Canis lupus familiaris: one gene and its partners. The protein of the gene in region 3 interacts with the protein of the main gene of each other region in a pairwise test. Links are inferred from orthologs where the notes say so. Each region holds a gene or a part of one and is shown on either strand. Other genes may lie near its edges. The genes, in order: ZBTB43, KCTD9 and SYT6.

Region 1 (4,278 bases), on a different chromosome or scaffold from region 3:
CTGGACCTAGGTAGGTGTTCCTATAGCTAGTAGTAACATCATTGTTTACCTATCTCCAAAGATGATTTTCAAAATACTTATCAGCATAGCACACACCCTAAGCAATCAGAACAGAGGCAGACTGTATCCCTGGATAACTTCTCAACTTCAACTCTAACTTCCTAGGCTTGCGTTTCTGCTTTCTTCCTGGCCTCAGATGATTTTTCCTGATTTCCTCACAAGTTTATCTACGTATTGAAAAGGGTGCTTTCAATATCTCTCCTCTTATTTTAATATATTTTGTTGCTGTCATATTTGAAGAGTCCTCGGTTTCGTTAGAAATAAAGTCTGAGGGACGCCTGGGTGACTCAACGGTTGAGCGTCTGCCTTCGGCTCAGGGCGTGATCCCAGGATCCAGGATGGAGTCCCACATTGGGCTCCTTGCAGGGGGTCTGCTCCTTCCTCTGCCTGTCTCTGCCTTTCTCTCTCTCTCTCTGCCTCTCATGAATAAATGGATAAAATTAAAAAAAAAAAATCTGAGTAAGAAATGTTAGGCACATGTAATAAAATATCCAGAGGTAAGCTAGAACTGTAGTTTAATGTCACATGAGACCTAGGCTCTTTCAATCTTTCCATTTTGCCAACCTTAGCATTTGCTTGTCCCATCATAGGCACGTGATGGGGACTGAACTTCCAACCTTCAAGTCTGCTTAGGGGAAGGAAGAGAATAAAAGTGGCAAAGCACTTGAGCATACTCAACTAGAAGTCCTACTGGACTTTCTTTTCTTTTCTTTTTTTGTTTTTTTGTTTTTGTTTGTTTTTTCTTTTCTTTTTTTTTTTTAAGTATTATGGGCTAGAAAAAAAATAAAAATAAAAAAGTATTATGGGCTAGGAGTTGGTCACATGACTATGCTTTGTCTAACCACTTGGCTCATGAGATTACTGTGAATAGTTTGGACTAACCATGAGGCATTCCTCCTAGTAGCAGTGAAGATCTACCTCCCCTGAGATCAAAGGGTCTCTTCTGGGACCTGAACAAAATGAGGTTTTTCTTAGAGGGACCCAGCACAGCGCCTGGCACAGATGGAACTGTTCCTGTCCTTGTACATTCCCTGAGCATCCACTACGTGCCAAAGGCCCTCGGAGACAAAAATGGATTCGACACGGCCTCTGCTAGGCAGCATGAGAGAGATCAAGTCTGAAAAGGGGTTAGGACTCGGTGTCAGCTCCCTCATTCCCAGCACCGGCCTCACCCGGAGTCCCTGAAGACAACTGACCCGCGCCAGGTTGCACTGCGCAGGAGTAGGGCGGCAGCAGCGCGCTCCCCTCACGCCCCGCCCCGCAGGAGAGTCCCGCATGCGCACAGCGTTTTCTCTCTGACGCACCCCCGGAAGCACTGGCAGTTTCGGGGGCGGAACCGGGAAGCGTTTCCGGGGGCGGGAGGTGCAGGCTGAGGCGGTCGCGGCGGCTACGGCTTGAACGGGCCTGTCGCTGGCGGCGGAAAGTGTCCCGCGGGCGGGTTATGTGAACGCGGAGCCCTTAGCAGGTACGGCGAAGTCGGGACGACAGGTAGCGAGGGGACAGGGAGGGCAGCCGGGGAGGTTTAAGGGCTTCCTCCGCAGGTCCCGGCGCGCGCGCGCCCCCCGGCCCGGCAGGCCCGTTCCGCAGACCGGGATGCTCAAGAAGCCGCGCTCGGGCGGTTGGAGTCCCCGCGCCCGAGGCCGACTCCTGCGGCCTCCAGCCAGCCCGGTGCGCGGGCCGCGACACCCAAGGCCCCCGAAGCAGCGTCTCGCCCAAGGTCACCCCGCGGCGGCGGACCTCGGCGGGCCGGAGCGCTTAGAGATCCCGCCTGGGAACGTCCGCCGGCCTTTCGGGGGCGCCGTGTGGGTGCGGCGAGGCGGCCTCGGGTTTGAGCCGAAGCCGGGAGACAGGCAGCACCCGGCCTTGGCTGGTGCCTGCCTCCGTTTGCTTCTAAGTAGTGTTTCCCCTCTGTTGACGTCTCTGTCACCTGTTGTCACCTGCCCTTTCTGCCTCTGAACTCCGCCACTATCGACTTTGTATTTCTCCCCAGTTTCTCTTGCTGAGCACACATCTCTATCTGCACCCCCCCCCCTTTTTTTTTTTTCTTCTTCTGTCTCTACTTTGCTTATGTGACTCTTGACCCTGTGTTTCCCTCTCAGTCCTCACTCTCATTCATGGCCTGCCTGCCTGCCTGTCAGCCTTGCTCTTTGGCCGTCTGTGTTTCTGCCAGTTTTGTGTCTTTCTCTCTTGTTTGTGCGTCTCCTAACTAGGTTTGTCTGGGCGGAGCAGGGCAGGCTTGCCCGGACCTCTGAGCCATGCAAAATGACTCATGACCCCGTGAAGCTTCCTGCAACTGGTGACAGTCTCAGTGACTACACTGCAGTCTGGCCTCAACTCTGACAGGTGCCGCCCAGCCCAAGTGTGCCGGTGCAGGAACGCCTCGTGGGAGACAAACCAGAGACCATCTCAGGGCCAGAGTATCTTGATACATACTTGTCTTTTTTTTTTTTTTTTATGCATGGCTTTCTGGCCTGCACAACCCTCCACTTCCCTTTGCTCCAGCCCCTTACCCCAGGATGGCCTCCGGGGCTCTCAAGAGCCTGCTCTTTGCGTTACAGCTGCTGAACTAGACCTGTCCACAGGCTAAGGAATAGTCAGTCTAAGATTCTCTGCCTCATGGGGCTCATGGAATAGCAGGATTTCTGAGAAAGCTGTATGCATAGTTCAGAGATTGTGTCAGTATCTACAGTTAAATGATAAGAAACCTAATAATTTGGGATTCATTCTTTTCTTTACTAAAGTACTCACCGGAGAAGTAAACCAGACACAAAAGAACAAATATCTTATGAGGCCACTCATGTGAGGTATCTAAAATAGGCAAATTCATAGGGACGTACGTAGAATATAGCTTATCAGGGCCTGACAGGAAGAGATGGAGCATTATTGTTTAACGAATACAGAGTTTTAGTTTGGGATGATGAAAACAGTTCTGGAAATGGATAGTGGTGATGGTTGCACAATGCTGTGAATGTGCTTAATGCCACTAATTGTACACTTTAAAATGGCAAATTTTATGTGAAGTGTATTTTACCACAGTACAGAATAAAACCAAACAACCAAACAACCCAAACTGCTCTTTGGAGAAGCTTGGAACTAAGCAGCTCTTTGAAAATGTGATTTTAAAAATTTATTTTGTGTGTCTTTGGAATATTTAGTTGAACCTACGTTTGTTGATACCTGCTTTTGTCATAGCTAATGTCCTCAGAAAAGGAGTTCAGTTAAAAGAATTTGCTTAAAATCTTCCCTTAAGCTTTCTACTTGTGGCAAATTCCTGCCCTGGCTCTTCTCCCTCCATGTTCTTGGATTCAGTGTAGGCATCTGCTGCAGACCCATGGGAAATTTGAGGAAAGATTTTACTTTTTACATAAAGAAAACTTTAGGGTTGGAAAAATAGCCCTGTTATTATGATAATGCAAAATTATGTGTCATTTCCTGTGTGTTTTCTGATGGGGGAGGCCTTTATGTTACGTTCTCTTATTTAAGCTATCAGGTTGCCAGTATGGTAGTTTTTCAAGCTTTCTTGTGAGATATTGCAGCTGAATTAATACTGTATTGAATCCTAATACCATTGATTGTTTTCTGTACCACCAAAGGAGAAAAAAACACCGTCAATTTAGCTATGACATGTGCTTTTTTAATCATTTAGGCTTATAAAAATTCTTAGTGAGAAAATATTTTTAGACTTATTTAGACATTTTTAAATGACATCATTCTAATGCTAAATAAAAAGAAAAATAAGTGAAATAAATTGGCTAAAGTGTTTGTTAAATTTTTAACATTCCTACTCTTTTTGAATACTTCTCAGTTCAGAGTTGGGTCCATACTTTTCCAGTGTCCTCTTTTGTGCCTTCAGAAACACTGATGTGGCTCTCAGGAATGCTCTATCATTGTCTCAGGCAGTGACAAGCATTAAAATTTCCACTTGGCCATCATATCCTGATTGCAGAAATTTTGAAATATGCCTCTTAAAATCAGTCGAATGTACTCTACGTTTTTATGAACTTTTATTTTTTCCCTTTTTTTTTTTTTATGATAGTCACACAGAGAGAGAGAGAGAGAGAGAGAGAGAGGCAGGGACACAGGCAGAGGGAGAAGCAGGCTCCATGCCGGGAGCCCGACGCGGGACTTGATCCGGGACCACAGGATCGCACCCTGGGCCAAAGGCAGGCACTAAACCGCTGCGCCACCCAGGGATCCCATTTTTTCCCTTCTTTTTAT
Region 2 (4,244 bases), on a different chromosome or scaffold from region 3:
AGAGGGTGTCTTGAGAACTTAAAAAAAAAAAGAGAGAGAGAGAGAGAAATGGAGGAAACTGCTGTTGGGGATCAAACAAAGCAGACCCCACACTAGAAGTCATGGCTTTTCAGCCTTGGCGAGCATCTGCATCGTCTAGGGATTCTGTTAAAGGCCCAGCTTTGCGGATTCCCACGGAGTAGGTCTGGCCGGGCTCCAGGCGATGTGCACTTTAGAAAGCACGCGGGGGACCGGGCTCAGGCCGCAAGAGGAGCCGAGTGAGGAAGACCACGCTCCGGAGAAACGCCCTCCGGGCCGCCCTACCTCTCACTCCCGCAGCCCGGCCCTGCTCCCACCGGGCTTATCCGCAACGCTCCACCGCAGGCTGAGTGTCGAGCAGCCGCTGACGGGTCGCTCGAGAAGGCGACTCCCGGACGCCAGAGGCTGCCTCGTCAGGCCCGGGGAACCCCGACCCCCCGACCCCCGCCGCCCGCTCCCGACCTTCGCCGTCGCCGCCGCCGCCTTCGCCGCCCGCCGCCAGATTCAAATCGCCAGCCCCGCCCCCTGGCCCCGGCGTTGCCCCCAGCGGATCTCTACGCCGCCTCTGTTCACACGTGTCCACGCGCACCCCGCACTCTCCCGGGCCTCTACCTCGTCGCCCCGGCACCCGGAGGGGCTTCGTGAGCTCCAGAGAGGCCCCCGCTAGCTGCGGGGGGTCGCACCGACCGCAGAGCCGCGACTGCTCCCCCGCACCCGGGGGACTACTTCCCGTGAGAGTCTCGCGGAGGCACCCTTCGGTTAGGCCTTTAGCCCCGCCCCCCCCGCTTTTCAATTGGACGCTGCGAACTTCGAAAAGAATCATTGGGCCAATCCTGGCAGAACGATGGGCGGGCTCTTGCCCAATCAGCCAGTCCCGACGGCAGCCGTTTCGTCCGCGGTTCCCGAGAGTGGGAAGCGGCCACCGCGACTCGTGTGCGTCCCCGCCCGCGCTCCACCTCTTTCCCCCCAGCCCCGCCCCCTATGCAGATGAGCGCTACCTGGCGTTGGGTTTGCGCGTGCTCAGTAACGCCTCGAGGCGCCGCTCGGCTGCAGGTTGTGCTGATTGGCTGATAACCCTTCCCGTCTGCGAGGCAGCAACCTCTCTTCCCTCCCTCCACCTGGGCTGGGTTAGGATGAGCCCACCCAATGCAGGGCGGTGATTGGCTGAGTCCTGGCCGGAGCTGCCGCTTGATTGGTGGAGCTTAGAGTCAGTCCGGGAGAGGTGGGGGAAGGGTCCCAGGCTGGCTGAGCAGCCCAGGGGCGGGGTGGGAAGGAGGACCGGCCGAGCCAGGGGTGTGGGACCGGGAGTGCGTGCTAGTGTGTCTCCCTAAGAGAAGGAAGGTGGCGAAGGGAGGAGAGTCCGCGTGGGTGGAGGGAGGGGAAGGGCGGGAGAAGAAGAAGGTGGGAGGAGAGCCAGGTGGGAGGGTGGCGGCGACTCACTCAGGACCCAGTGGGGGCAGCGCGATGAGGCGGGTGACCCTGTTCCTAAACGGCAGCCCCAAGAATGGAAAGGTAAGGGGGTCGGGAGGAGGCGGGCCGCCTGCCCCGGGAGAGGGCGGCGCAGCCCGGGCGGGCCGGCGGGGCAGAGGCTGAAGTTGGGGAGAGGGGCTGGGCGGTGGGCGTGCGCCGCGGCGGGGGGCGCCCGCGACGGGAGCGGCGGGTCCGCGCGGCCTCCTCCCCGCCCGCGGGGCTGCCGGCCCCAGCCCGCCCCTCGGCGCCCCCGCCGCCGCCCCCGCCGCCCCCGGGGCCGCGGCGGGTCAGCTCGTGCCGAGCGGCTCCCACGTCCAGGTGCGCGTCCTGCAGCGCGGGGGCGGGGGCGGGCCGCCGCCCCCCTTGGCGCCTCGCCCCCGGCGACCCCCGGCGACCCCGCCGCCCCCGCCCGCCCCCGGCTCCAGGAGGGCGCCCGCTCGCTGCCACCTTCGTGCTGAGTAATGCTCTGCTCCAGAAAGTGAGAGGTGAGCGACCGAGGCAGACGCGGAAGGTAGAAGGAGGAGGCTTTATTTGGGGGGGGGGGGGGGGGGGCACGGTATTCTTCTACCCTAGGTGCAATAGCAGAATGAGGATGAGGGACGTTTCCTTGACGGTGTTCCCACCTCCGTCCTCTGGGCGCCCTCAGCCCCGCCGCCGCCAAACTTAACGTGCTCACTTTTCTATTTCGCCTCGTTTTTTTTTTTTTTTTTTTTTTTTTTTTTTTTTTTATAGTTCTCTAGGGATTGTCACAGTAAGTAGACCAGAAGTGGGTTGATTGGACACGACTCGTTGCTGTGTTAGGCCTTTGTTGAGGGTGTGGTACCAAATATTTGCCCGCCCCCCCCCCTCCAAGGCTGAAGCCAGCCAAAACGAATCCTGTTCCTTCTCGAGTCTCTTGCCCCACCCATGAAAGTTCGGCTCCCTTTGGAAAATTTGACTGTCCAAAGCAGACATTTATGATGTGGCTAAATGACATCTACAAAGGACTGTGCCTTACAGGCTAAGGTGAAGGTAAATTGGCCTCACTGGAGTATTGGCCAGAATACAGTACTTTATTTCCCGCATAGTTTGGAAACAGTACGTCTTTAAATAGTGTAATTGTGCCCCATTATTTTAGAAAAAAAAAAAAAAAAAGGCTCTCCAGCTACTCTGAGATTTTAAATAAATCTGCTCCAAAAATTTGAACCACGGTCTAGTGTGTTGACTATAATTTTCTGATGTTTCTGAGTGTGGAGATCTAATAACCTTACGAACGACTGGCGTGTATTCAAGTTCTTGAGTTTTCATAAATGTTACTTCAAAATAGACTTCTCAAGACTGACTTCTGACATCAGCGTTTTCTAAACCTGTTTCGTTAGCTGCTAATAATCTAAAACTTATATTGGTACTGGGAGAAAAACAAAAAAAAACTTCGTATATCCAGACGGTTGTAATATGTTCTCAAAAACAGACCTTTGACATTTTTATCCAGCATCTCTTTGTTCCTCTCTAAAAACAAGATGTTTGGACTAAGTCATAGATATTTGACTATGCGCTAAATCTCCTCTAAAACCACTGAATTTTGTTCTTTCAAAGCTTGGCTGTGTTAGTCTTACCATATATATATTTTTTAAAGTATCTGGTCTTGACTAGGTTAGGTTAGCCGTTTTTTAAATAAAATTGTACTTGTTTAAAAAAAAATAAGTTGTACTTGTTTTAAAAATAATTTCTAGGGAATCTCAAAAGATTGGGAAAATTACATCGCAAGTAAATAAAGATAAATATGTTTATACTAGTAGTAAAGATCATATGAAGATCCAAGCTGGGGCAGCCCTGGTAGCTCAATGGTTTAGCGCAGCCTTCAGCCCAGGGCCTGATCCTGGAGACCCAGGATCGAGTCCCATGTCGGGCTCCCTGCATGGAGCCTGCTTCTCTCTCTGCCTATGTCTCTGCCTCTGTTTCTCTCTCTGTGTCTCTCATGAATAAATAAAATCTTAAAAAAAAAAAAATCCAAGCTGGAAAATTACTAGTATGATTCAATAATAGTAAAAACAAGTCATACTATAATTCTTACTACTCAGAAAACATACTCTATGCCAAAGTTCTGTTTCCTTTCCTCTCTTTCCAGCTGATTAAAAAATATATATATGTACTCTAATTACTCTTGTGTGACAAGAGTCCAGAATAATACATAACAGGTTACATGTTTGTATAAATAACATGACTAAGCCAGAATTGGCATGATCATGACATGACGTTCATGAAAAATATGCTGAAACAGAGCACTACCATTAGAGTTTGATATTGGGATATCTGTCACTTCCATTATCCCTTCTTGACCAAGCTTCTGATTTTTCTTCTTCGTCAAAAGATGAGTATCCGTTTTGTCAAATAGGTTTCCCTCCTGTAATGCTTCTTCAGTGGTTGCCAGACTGGGCCATAAAGCCTGGGCTTGGAGAGACACAGAGATACTGCAGGGAACTACATCATATGCTTTCCGTGACTTTTCTGTATACTGAATAAACATAAGTGTAACTAGTGCATGCTTCGGTGTTGTAGAGAGGGCTGTGCATTTTCTAAACCCGTGCTTTCCATGGTGCAATAGTACACCACAGAGGGTGTGCAAGAGGACCCAGTAGAGTTTAAGAAGAAATACACTTTTTATATTTTTACTTAGAAATCTAAAATCATTTTAAAATGTGGTTTTTCAGTCCATAAAGACACAAGTGCTTTCAATTACTCAATGTGTAGCCTGTAGGCTACTCAGTAGCCTCAGG
Region 3 (3,634 bases):
ATAATTATGCTGGGTCCAGATTCTAGGAGGCCTTGAGGAACCAGGAGAAGGGCCTGGGTAATGGGAACCAGTGATGGTTCTTGAGAAGGGCAGGTCCCAGAAAAAAGTGGTCTTTGAGGAAGGTGTGCCTTTCATGTGTTGGCTGGCTCGAGTCAGGGAGTGATGAAGGCAGGGGTCAGCTGGGAGGCTACACGGCCATCCCTGAGTGGGAATGGTAACAGCCTCAGAAATGGAGAGGATCCATGATGGGACTTGCAGCTAGAGGGAGGAATAGGACCCAGCAGGGGTGAATTCAGGGACACTGATGGGTGGGTTGGTCCCTGATGGAAATGTGCCTCCTGGAAAGCAAAACTTGAGCTTCTGCTCAGGGGAATCTATTCTCTTCCTCATACTTCGGCACTCTTCCTGAGTGGAGCCAGATTTGAGGCCAATGGGCTCCCGGGCCCTGAATCACAAGATCTGAGGTCAGGAAGCCCATCCTGCATTGACATGGGAGGTGAGATGCAGGGAATTGTGGCCCTCTGGGCCCCACACCTACCGATCATAATCCATGACGGAGATGAGCAGGCTGACTTGATCCATGTTCTCTGGGGGAATATCAAAGATGATGGCTTCATTGTAGACAGGATTAAGAGTGTTCTTCTTGATGGTTGTTTTTTTCTTTTTCAGTCTCCGCCCATCACAAAGCAGGGACACTTTGACATATGGATCTGTGCCAGTGGGGGTGATGGGAAGGGAAGGGAGCATGTTAACCAGATGTCCTTAAACATCATTTGCAACAGAGGGATGGAAGCCACAGACCTATTGTAGCTCATCCGATGGTATCGGTGGGTTGTTAAGATAATTAAACCACCTTGTATTTATGTAGCACACCTGTCTCTGAGGACACCTCGTGCTTAATAAACACAGAGTCTTTAGCGACCTCAGGATTATTGGGAGAGTGCCTAATGGACTTGCATTAATGGCCTCAAGTCAGACAGGACACCTGCCCATAGGTATGCGGTTCATGGCCCTAAATCCCCACTCCATGACAGCTGGCTGGCTCCAAAGGGTGATGAAGCTGAACAAGTCACACTCTTCCTTTCACCTACTTGGAGGCCTTTTCTCTGGGGGTTTGTCATCATTATTAACCAAAGGATAAGGGGGGTAAAAATAGAAGCCCATGACACCCAAGGAGTAGCAGTGTGTCAGAGTAAATGAACAGCGACAATCACAGCACTGTTCATGTCCTCCCTACCTGACAACGGGATTATGGGTCTCATTGTCCCAACAAGCTCATTTCCAGCTGGCATCAAGAAGAGCCCTGCTCTCTCCTTCCCCGGAAGCTATTTCCTGCCCACTTCTGGGCAAAGGAGGAGGAGGGAGCTATGGTGGGGGCCGTGAGTAAGGCGGCTTCTGAGATTCAGGGCAGCCGGCTGACATTTCATTTCTCAGTGGGATCTTGGATCCTCTCCATCCCCAGAGGAGATGTCTTTTTACTGAACTTCCACGTGTCTCCCATCCCTGTCTCTTCTTTAGTTTTCTGAATAGGTATTTTGTGGTCATCCTTCTACCCTGAAATTTTCCACTCATCCAAGTGAAGTGACATCCATTGTATCTCATAGCACAGGTGTCTTAGACACCATCATAATTGTTATTTATGCTGCATAGCTGAAGAAATGGGAGGGCGACTTGCAGGTAATAACAGCTTTTGAGACACTGATGTACAGAGATACCTGCTTGCCCAAAAGCCAGGGTTCACAGGATCTGTTAGGAGGCGGGGGCCGAGCGGCCGCTGCCTGACGCCTTGATGCACAGGCATGTGGTTCTATCTCCTGAGCACCTGAGCACCCATCAGGCCCTTATACTCCCTGAGCATCGATCAGGTGGCAGCTGAGGCACCCAGCTATGGGGAAGCTAGGGAGGACTCCGACACGTGATCAGAAACTCCAAGCCTTGAAGGCATTTCTGCAGACTCTCAAAGGAGCTGCCGACTAACTAATGTGACAGACAGGGCAGCTATGCCTTAACCACAGGGGCACTTGGGTTTACGAGGGACCTGGGGAGACCGTGATTAAACAGCAGGTGTTTCATCAACCTGCTGTCTCCAACGACCCATTTGGAAGGGCCCTTTCTCGGAGGTGTTTTCAGTAAAAAGGAAGGCAGAGTTCCTAGAACCTCTGTGAGGCAACTTCTCTGGTTGTCTGTGGGCTCCCTTCTCTATGGATATGCCCAGGGCAGGGTTCAAGTCCAAGCAGTCAGATGGGTAAAGCTTACTCCAAGACCCATCACTAACACAGCCACTTCTCCATAAGGTGTACACTGCCCTGGAAAGTGCCTTCGGACTTGTGGCTGCTCAAGTGCTGCCCCATTGCCTGCCATGCCCATCTCCATGCACTTTCACAGCACAGCAGAGTCCCATGTCACTAGGCTTGGAAAAATATGGCAGAGCCAATTGTCCCGGAGGCCACTAGGCAAATGCCTTGTTACTGACTGGGAAATTCTCAGCTTCCTTCTCCAACTCTGTTTACTCCTACGAGGCATATCCATTTATAAAATTCAGTGGGTGTATCTCCCTTGAAGAAACCATCCATCTTGTGATTGTCCAAGAGGCAAAGCAGAGAGATGCCTATTCCTTAGGATTCTCTAGAGCAAAAAGTTGGTGGCTTCCAGTGGGATGCTGGCTCTACGTGACCTTGGAGGTTGTTTCCTCTCTAACAGCCTATGATGTTCTAGGTAGCTGAGAGAGGGAGCATAAAGGCAGGTGGTGCATTTCAGCCCCATTGCCATGAGAGCCATCATAGCCCAGCATTTAGTATGTGTCGGGCATTGTGTTGAGATTTATATACATTGTGTCATTTAAACTTCCCACCAATGCTGTAAAATATCTATCATCATCATCATCATCCCCTTTTATAGGTAGGGAAATTGAGGCTGGAGAGATTCAGGAACTTGCTTCAGATTTGAACCTAGGTCTTTCTGACTCCAAAATTTACATTTTAAACCACTAGACTCAAATCAGTACAGACCAGATGTGGTGGAGATGGGTGGTTTTACTTACTCACCACCCTTGTTGTGTCCTGATCCTTCTGATTATTTTGTGTTATGTCATCGTTCCAGTGGATGGGCTTAAAGAATTGATGCATGACTAGTTAAATTGAGGAGAATAGGAAGACCCTCGGGTTTGGGGGGTCAATGTTATAGAAATCAAGAAGAGGCAACAAGCTCCATTCACTCCCTACTTTGGCCTAATATCCAAGCAGTCTGGGCTGAAGGCAACCTCAAACTCATCCTCACAAACAGGAGATCTAGTTTGAGAGGCCCCTAGCACACATGCCCCCACTGTTTCGCCCTCTGACAAGGCTCCTCATGCTGTCAATTCATTCATCCATTCATTCAAAACATATTTATTCAATGCATATTGTGCTGCATGCACTATTCCAGATATTTGCTTAGATCTGTGGACCAAACAGAAATCCCCAACAAAAAGAGGACCCCTGAATTTCCAGAATCAAGTGGAGATTTAATAGTAGATTCCAAACCCAGGTAGAAAAGAGGGTCAATTGCAAGAGGGAGATTAGAATTTAGCATGAGAAAAATCTCTTTCCCCCAACCCTCTGATGTGGAACAGCCGTTATGATTACCTCAGTGGCTT

Evidence for each region.
Region 1: the proteins of SYT6 (region 3) and ZBTB43 interact in binary tests that used the Homo sapiens proteins (3 or more experiments, as listed by UniProt). The two-hybrid records come from large-scale screens. The link is inferred for Canis lupus familiaris from reciprocal best matches to the Homo sapiens genes SYT6 and ZBTB43.
Region 2: the proteins of SYT6 (region 3) and KCTD9 interact in binary tests that used the Homo sapiens proteins (3 or more experiments, as listed by UniProt). The two-hybrid records come from large-scale screens. The link is inferred for Canis lupus familiaris from reciprocal best matches to the Homo sapiens genes SYT6 and KCTD9.

What each region holds. Positions count from the first base shown.
Region 1 is NC_049230.1:56,548,306-56,552,583, reverse strand, and holds the start of ZBTB43 (zinc finger and BTB domain-containing protein 43), read left to right. Parts: upstream 1-1,366; 5' UTR 1,367-1,525; exon of another isoform or gene 1,526-1,548; intron 1,549-1,868; exon of another isoform or gene 1,869-2,477; intron 2,478-4,278. UniProt on the Homo sapiens protein: May be involved in transcriptional regulation.
Region 2 is NC_049246.1:32,166,300-32,170,543, forward strand, and holds the start of KCTD9 (BTB/POZ domain-containing protein KCTD9), read left to right. Parts: upstream 1-1,333; 5' UTR 1,334-1,482; coding exon 1,483-1,530; intron 1,531-1,902; exon of another isoform or gene 1,903-1,973; intron 1,974-2,220; exon of another isoform or gene 2,221-2,622; intron 2,623-4,244. UniProt on the Homo sapiens protein: Substrate-specific adapter of a BCR (BTB-CUL3-RBX1) E3 ubiquitin-protein ligase complex, which mediates the ubiquitination of target proteins, leading to their degradation by the proteasome.
Region 3 is NC_049238.1:52,397,933-52,401,566, forward strand, and holds part of SYT6 (synaptotagmin-6), read right to left. Parts: intron 711-3,634; coding exon 539-710; intron 1-538.